Macaca mulatta: one gene and its partner. The protein of the gene in region 1 purifies or fractionates together with the protein of each later gene. This does not show direct contact. Links are inferred from orthologs where the notes say so. Each region holds a gene or a part of one and is shown in the gene's direction. Other genes may lie near its edges. The genes, in order: NCOA4 and FTL.

What was found.
Region 2: the proteins of NCOA4 (region 1) and FTL purify together in Homo sapiens (co-immunoprecipitation; 3 studies listed by BioGRID and IntAct, counting the BioPlex papers as one, with this or other methods). This does not show direct contact. The link is inferred for Macaca mulatta from reciprocal best matches to the Homo sapiens genes NCOA4 and FTL.

Annotation. Positions count from the first base shown.
Region 1 is NC_133414.1:59,166,317-59,170,716, forward strand, and holds the start of NCOA4 (nuclear receptor coactivator 4), read left to right. Parts: upstream 1-1,487; 5' UTR 1,488-1,623; intron 1,624-2,986; exon of another isoform or gene 2,987-3,058; intron 3,059-4,400. UniProt on the Homo sapiens protein: Cargo receptor for the autophagic turnover of the iron-binding ferritin complex, playing a central role in iron homeostasis. Acts as an adapter for delivery of ferritin to lysosomes and autophagic degradation of ferritin, a process named ferritinophagy.
Region 2 is NC_133424.1:61,421,388-61,425,205, forward strand, and holds FTL (ferritin light chain), read left to right. Parts: upstream 1-1,405; 5' UTR 1,406-1,606; coding exon 1,607-1,708; intron 1,709-1,869; coding exon 1,870-2,016; intron 2,017-2,385; coding exon 2,386-2,511; intron 2,512-3,003; coding exon 3,004-3,156; 3' UTR 3,157-3,182; downstream 3,183-3,818.

The DNA of each region.
Region 1 (4,400 bases):
AGCTCTCCTTCCACTCACAGCCTATGGCTGTTATCTTAGCTTCTGCATCAGAATCTGTGTCTCCTGTTGTTTTCTAATGAGGTTGCCTTGCCCCTTGTAGGAGTCACTCTTGGGTGAGATCCATAAAACCCTGCTATGAACATCTCCTTTGCTGAGGAATGTGGGGAAGCAGTTGGCAACTGAGTATGGAGGACCTCTGTCAAAACTGAGGCAGAAAGAAGTGCTATTTTAACATCTGGTCACAAGTAAATAATGTGGGTTATTATCCGGGCTGTAAACTGGACGTGGTGGCTTATGCTTGTAATCCCAGGTGACGTGGGAGGATCGCTTGTGCCTAGGAGTTCGAGTAACTCAGTCTGGTAACACAGTCTGGTAACACAGCAATACCCTGTCTCTACAAAAAAAAAAATTTTAAACCAGGCATCATGGTGCACGTTGGTAATCCCAGCTACTCAGCAAGTTGAGGCAGGAGAATCGCTTGAACCCAGGAGGCAGAAGCTGCAGCGAGCCGAGATTGCACCACTGCACTCCAGCCTGGGCGACAGCGTCAGACCCTGTCTCAAAGAAAAAAGAAAAGAAATAAAGAATCTGGGTTCTGACATTTATTTATTTACTCAATGTATTTTTTTTTTTTTTTTTTTTTTTTTTTTTTGTCGCCCGGGCTGGTTTTTTGTATTTTTTAGTGGAGATGGGGTTTCACCATGTTAGCCAGGATGGTCTCGATCTCCTGACTTCGTGATCCGACCGTCTCGGCCTCCCAAAGTGCTGGGATTACAGGCTTGAGCCACCGCGCCCGGCCCATTTTTTTCTTTTCTTTTCTTTTTTTTTTTTTTTTTTGAGACCCAGCGTTGCTCTGTCGCCCAGGCAGTGTAGTGGCGCGATCTCGGCTCACTGCAATCTCCCCCTTCCGAGTTCAAGCAATTCCGCCTCAGCCTCCCGAGCAGCAGGGACTACACGCGCGCGCCACCACGCCCGGCTAATTTTTTTGTATTTTTAGTAGAGAAGGAGTTTCGCCGTGTGAGTCAGGATGGTCTCTATCTTCCGACCTCGTGATTCGCCCGCCTCGGGTTCCCAACGTGCTGGGATTATAGGCATGAGCCACCGCGCCCGGCCTATTTACTTTAGAAAAACAAATGTTGCAAAGGTGGAATCATACAACATATGGCCTTTTGTGTCTTATGATATTCATTTTTGCATCTGAACGTTCAAGTTAAATAATATCTACCTTGTGAGGGCATTTGAATCACTTAGAATGGTCCTCGGCACAAAACTTGCCTTCAAAAAATATTTGCTTCATTTAATTTCGATTTATTCACGAAGGGCTAAAGGACGTTGTGCAAGGGCTGGGAGAAAGTGTGCGCCTGCGCTCTGCGCCTTCTAGAGGGCAGTCAAGGGGGCTGGGAGAAAGTGTGCGCCTGCGCTTTGCGCCTTCTAGAGGGCAGTCAAGGGCTTCTGCCTGACCCAAGGGGAGATCTCGCGAGACTTTCAGACCTCTGGCAAGAGGCGTGAGAGGAAGATTGCGTTGTCGCGAGAACTCTGCCTTTTGGGACCTAGGTTAGTGTGGGGCCGTGTCTCAGTCCACCCAAGGTCTCCTCGGATCGCGCGGAGAGGCACTCGGACCTGGTAAGAACGCCGTGGGCCGGGTGGAGGCTGGATGATCGCTGGCCCCGGGCTTGTCCGTCCCCTTCCCGACCTGACCGACACCGGGCCCGGCCTGCCTTCTCCTCCCCTTCCCTCCACACGCCAGGCCCAGGCACCTCTTCCTGCCTGCCCGCCGGTCCCGGCCTGCCTTCTCCCCTTCCCTCCACACGCCGGGCCCGGGCCTGCCTTCTCCCCTTCCCGCTACACGCCGGGCTCCGGGCCTGCCTTTTCCTCCCCGACCCTCCTCATTCCCGGCCCAGAAACCTCCTGCTCCCCGCCGGCCTTCCCCTGGCTTTAGGTGTGACAGCTCCAAGTTTCCTATTTCTCTCGCCTCTTGCCTGGATCTGGGGCGTGGCAAGGTCTGTTTTGCCGAACCAGCCCAGAACACAATCCATTTCTAGCTTGTCAGGTGGAAATACAAATAAGATATTGGGGTTTTTTTTTGTTTTTGTTTTTTTTTTTTTGGCCCTCTGTGTGCTAAACACATACCGTCACATTTAGTTCTCCCAATAATCCCGAAAAGTAGCTTGATTATCTCTGTTTTACAGATGAGAAGAGTGAGGCTTGCTCATTCATTGGTTCATCCACCAACAATCATTTATTTGGTGCCTGTATGTTCAGGATGTTGAGGATAGCAATGAAGAAAATGGACACACTCCTAATTCTCATGGAACTAAATTCTCGTGTTGGGAACAACAATAATCATAAGCTTACGTGGCACGGGATTTAATGTGGAATGATGCCATCAAGAATGGCAGAAGTAGAATGACAGAAGTCAGAGTGCTAGAATTTATCTGAACCCACAGGCAGAGCTTTTTTCCTTTTAACTGTGCCTTTTTGTGTCTATCTAATCAGGGTCGGGTTCACCATAGTAACTGCCTTTTGGATGGACTTAGCTTTCCACCACGCACTTGGTAATTTGGAACTAAGTTTACAGAGACTCTTGAGTTACTTATTGGAATGAGGATGGCACAGGAAGTCATAGTTGGCCCATTTCTGTACTGAGATCCTACTGTGACATTTCCAGACTTTAAAGTACATGAGACCGTTTGAGAAAGGCTTACCCTAATGATGCAATGGAGGGAGATTCATTTGCTGCCTTGTGGCTTAGGCAATTTACTTGGTTTTCTCATTTGAAGATTTGCTAGCTTGCAGATTTGTTCAGATAAGTAAATGAGATAATGGGGGGTCCAGCACAATAACATTCCTTTCACTTTCTCCTTCCCTCCCTTCCAGGGAGCCTTTGTCCTTGGGTCTCTGAGGAAAATCCTACTCTTGGAAAGTTTTGTGATACTTTTTATCTAAATAAATCTCTACAATCACATTATTACCTTTGTGCAAACAGGCATTTCGGAAATAGAAAAAACACGTTGAGCTATTGAAGGAAAGGAAGATGTCCTTCTCAAAGGCGGAGAAGGTATTTTAGAACTACATGATACCCCTGACCCCTGTTTTTATTAAATCAGCATAGCTGTGCCAGAATCTCAGGAGCCCGTGTAGGGGTTTCATAAAACTCCATAGTATATCCTGACACATATCCCTCCCCCGGTTTGAGAGTCCCTAAGTTAGTGTTTTATAATACTTTCCCTCACATAGTGTTAGCATTCAGTGCCAGTCATTGCTGCTGCTGATGGACTTTGAACTCTGTCTCTTATTTCAAAGAATTAGTATTTTCTGCTTTGTTGGCAAATCGGTGACACGAGTTCTCCTCTAGGTGGCAAGTTCACCATTGTGTTCTCAGGGACTATCACAGTAGTGGCAGTTGAGGTACTCCATAAATAGTTGTTGGATGAATACATAATACCTTAATACTTAATGATTCCTTCAACATACTCGGTATGGTTAGGGACTTTGGACTCAGATCTGGGATTAAATCTTGGCTCTTCTACTTGGAAGTTTGTGACTGTAGGTAATATATTTAACCTTGTCAAGTCTGCTTTTTTTTTTTTTTTAATTGTGATGATAATAGCCCCTTTAATGGTTTGTGAGTGCTAATTGAGATAATGAGTTTTTAAAAAAAGGCTTGGCACATAGTAGACTAGATGTAAATACTTACTGAATTTATTTACTCAGTAATTAATTATTGAATACCTACTATACAACAGTGAACAAAAAGACAAGTCCCCGCCATGTGGAACTTACCTTATAGTACGTTTTCTGAAGGGAGATCAGAAAATAAATGGTTGCTACGTGCCAGATTGTGGTTAGTACTATGGACAGTGATAAAGCATATTGAGGGGGAGTGGAGGCAAGACTTTTAAAAATAAAAGATGGTGAGGAATGGCCTCACTGAGAAGATGACCTCTGAGCAGACACCTGGAGGAAGTTAAGGCCTGGGCTTGATACCTGGAGGAAAGTGCAAGGGCTCTGAGGAAGAAGCATCCTTGTTATGCTAAAGGAGCAGCAGGAGGAGAAGAGTAGGGGTAGAGGGGAAGAGTAGGTAGCAGTCATGAGGTTTCTGCAGGAGTCCTAGAGAGAGATGATGGTAATGAAATTGATGAACTTTATGTCTGTCTTTGTTATATCCTGTTCTTTGACAAAAAGTAATAAAAATAGCTAATACTTATATAGCTCTTACGTGCATCAGGCACTATTTTAAGTGCTTTACATATACTAGTCATCAGATCTTTCCAACAAAGTATACCTAGCCTCAGAAAATGAAGATTTGTCACTCTTGAGGATATACAGTGGAATGTGCTGCTGGTTCAGAGAGCACTTTCTCAAGCATTACTGAAATCAGCAGTGAATTCACTGCCTCT
Region 2 (3,818 bases), on another chromosome or scaffold:
CGGGCGCGGTGGCTCAAGCCTGTAATCCCAGCACTTTGGGAGGCCGAGACGGGCGGATCACGAGGTCAGGAGATCGAGACCATCCTGGCAAACACGGTGAAACCCCGTCTCTACTAAAATACAAAAAAAAATTAGCCGGGCGAGGTGGCGGGCGCCTGTAGTCCCAGCTACTCGGGAGGCTGAGACAGGAGAATGGCGTGAACCTGGAAGGCGGGGCTTGCAGTGAGCTGAGATCCGGCCACTGCACTCCAGCCTGGGCAACAGAGCCAGACTCTGTCTCAAAAAAAAAAAAAAAAAAAATACGCATTAGTTGTAGACAGACGTCTCGTCCATAGGTCCCCAGACTGTGTGTCCACAACGCAGGGCTTCTCTTTGTGGGCCTGAAAGAGCACACGTCAGGCAAGACACGACGGCAACTGCGGAGACACTGTTTTCAGGGCCAAGGAGAATTCTCGGAGTCTGTGAGTTGCCTCCAAAACAGCCCCCAGGACACGCAGTCCCAGAGACACCGCAAAGCTCGAAACAGACATTTCATTCCTCCCCATTTCCACTCCCAGAAAACGACTGGGCCCTTAAAAGAGCTCCAAGGTATCCCCAAAGTCCCAGCCAGTCTTTGGAGGGTTTCCGAGGGCTGTCCAGGGTTCCAGAAGTCACCCTACCTCATACAATGCTCCTCCTGGGCTTCCCGCACTGGGGAACCCCACGGCTCCAGAACAACTGCCCTTTCCAACTTGCAGAGCACCTCAAGGACCTAAAGATCTCCCCGGGGAGGGCTCCAAAATATAGAGTTTGCATCGTGAACTCCCACCTCTGTAAAGCCCAGGACTCCAGTCCTCGCACCCCTCTGTCTCCCAGAGATCCCCAGGGGTCCAGAAATACCACCTCACTGCCTTCCAAGCTTCCCAAGGATCCGGAGACTCCTTATCTCGCAGCACAAACCTCAGGCAACTACAGGTCCTCCCCGCACCTCTGAGTTGCCCCTCCCCCACTCAAGGTTCCAGAAAAATCCATGCCCTCCGAAACCCCACAATCTGACTTACTTTCCCGAGGCACCCCCAGGACCCCAGGGTCATCAGTTCACAGGACTCTCAATGCTCCCATAAAACTATAGCCTCCCAGAGGAACCCCAGCCCCCACCCCCCCGCCCACGAAACCCTCCATTCCTCGAATCGGCCCCAGGGCCCCAACCCCCGCAAGCCCCCATTTCACAACACACTCGCGCTGCAGGCGCGTGACTTCCCCCTGCTTTGGGGCGGGGGCTGAGACTCCTGTGTGCTCCGGATTGGTCAGGCACGGCCTTCGGCCCCGCCTCCTGCCACCGCAGATTGGCCGATAGCCCGCTCCGAGCGCCCCGCCTCCGAGGGCCAGCGCACTATAAAAGAAGCCGCCCTAGCCACGTCCCCTCGCAGTTCGGCGGTCCCGCGGGTCTGTCTCTTGCTTCAACAGTGTTTGGACGGAACAGATCCGGGGACTCTTTCTTCCAGCCTCCGAGCGCCCTCCGATTTCCTCTCCACTTGCAACCTCCGGGACCATCTTCTCGGCCATCTCCTGCTTCTGGGACCTGCCAGCACCGTTTTTGTGGTTAGCTCCGTCTTGCCGACCAACCATGAGCTCCCAGATTCGTCAGAATTATTCCACCGACGTGGAGGCAGCCGTCAACAGCCTGGTCAATATGTACCTGCAGGCCTCCTACACCTACCTCTCTCTGGTGAGTCCCCAGGACGCCCCTGGCCCTAATTTCCCCCAGCTGCGCACGTTCGGCCCTCAGCGCAGGCGCCGGCCTTCTTTGTCCGGTCGAGTAAACAGAGGGCGGAGTCCCCCTTGGCCTCGCCTCCCGCTAAGCGTTGTTCCCTCCATCTCTTTCCTTAGGGCTTCTATTTCGACCGCGATGATGTGGCTCTGGAAGGCGTGAGCCACTTCTTCCGCGAATTGGCCGAGGAGAAGCGCGAGGGCTACGAGCGTCTCCTGAAGATGCAAAACCAGCGTGGCGGCCGCGCTCTTTTTCAGGACGTCAAGGTAACTAGTGTGTGGGTAGGGTAACGGACTACATCTCCCAGCAGGCCGTGCGCGCGAGGAGCCTTGATTTGAGGGCTTAGATGTCGCGTGGGCTTCGGGGAGATTGAGTTCGGTCTTGTGAGCCCTTTTACGGCTGGAAATAGAGGCGCACGTCGTGCAGTGCCCCCAGGACGCGGCAGTCCACACTGCTGCGTAGACTTAAGGACGTGTAGCTGTAAGAGCTAGGACGGGGTGCGGAGAGTGATAAATACAAGCTGTCACATGTCTTTGTGGCCTGGGCCTCTGACCCCCACCAATTCTTGGGAAATGTAGGTTTAGTTCCATGTGCCGAGTGTGTGTATTCTGAAGCCGTTTCTCCCTTCTGTATAGAAGCCAGCTGAAGATGAGTGGGGTAAAACCCCGGATGCCATGAAAGCCGCCATGGCCCTGGAGAAAAAACTGAATCAGGCCCTTTTGGATCTTCATGCCCTGGGTTCTGCCCACACGGATCCCCATGTACGTACCCCCTGCATCCATGGCTACCCAACCATACCCCTCAAGCCTTTGCTCTCTTTGGGCAAATTCCCTTCAGAGCCTCATTTAACACCTGTCATATTTTAATCTGCAACTGGCAGCTCTTTCTCCCTCTTTTCCAGGGATCGGGTTTCCTTTTTTTTTTTTTGAGACGGAGTCTCACTCTGTCGCCCAGGCTGGAGTGCAGTGGCCGGATCTCGACTCACTGCAAGCTCCGCCTCCCAGGTTCACGCCATTCTCCTGCCTCAGCCTCCCAAGTAGCTGGGACTACAGGCACCCGCCACCTCGCCCAGCTAGTTTTTTGTATTTTTTTTTTTTAAGTAGAGACGGGGTTTCACCATGTTAGCCAGGATGGTCTCGATCTCCTGACCTCGTGATCCGCCCGTCTCGGCCTCCCAAAGTGCTGGGATTACAGGCTTGAGCCACCGCGCCCGGCAGGGATCGGGTTTCTAATTTCTCCCTCTTCTCTCTCAGCTCTGTGACTTCCTGGAGACTCACTTCCTAGATGAGGAAGTGAAGCTCATCAAAAAGATGGGTGACCACCTGACCAACCTCAACAGGCTGGCCGGCCCGGAGGCTGGGCTGGGCGAGTATCTCTTCGAAAGGCTCACTCTCAAGCACGACTAAGAGCTTTCTGAGCCCAGCGACTTCTGAAGGGCCCCTTGCAAAATAATAGGGCTTCTGCCTAAGCCTCTCCCTCCAGCCACTAGGCAGCTTTCTTAACGACCCTAACAAGCCTTGGACCAAATGGAAATAAAGCTTTTTGATGCAGTTGGTGGTTTTGTGTGTGGTATGGAAGATGAGGTGGGATCTGTTCTCATAAAGCTTCTGGCTGGGTTGGGGATGCCAGTGAAAGAGGAGTTGGCCCCATCTCCCATTTTCTTATCTCTTCTAAGACAAGAAGCTATCTGGGTAGTGTTGAACTTGAGGGTTCTCTGCTTGCCTGGCTGTTAACTGTCCCTCCCAGATGGTAGAGATAGCCTCCAGGGAGTTGAATTAAGACCTAGGTTGGTACCTGGACACAGATCTGTTCGGTTTCAGCCAGAAACAGCACTATTTAATGAGTGATTATGAGGCCAGGTGGGCCGATCAGCTGATGTCAGGAGTTCGAGACCAGCCTGACCAACATGGAGAAACCCCGCCTCTACTAAAAATACAAAATTAGCTGGGTGTGGTGGTGCATGCCTGTAATCCCAGCTAGTCAGGAGGTTGAGGCAGGATAATCGCTGGAACCTGGGAGGCGGAGGTTGCGGTGAGCTGAGATCAACGTCATTGCGCTCCAGCCTGGG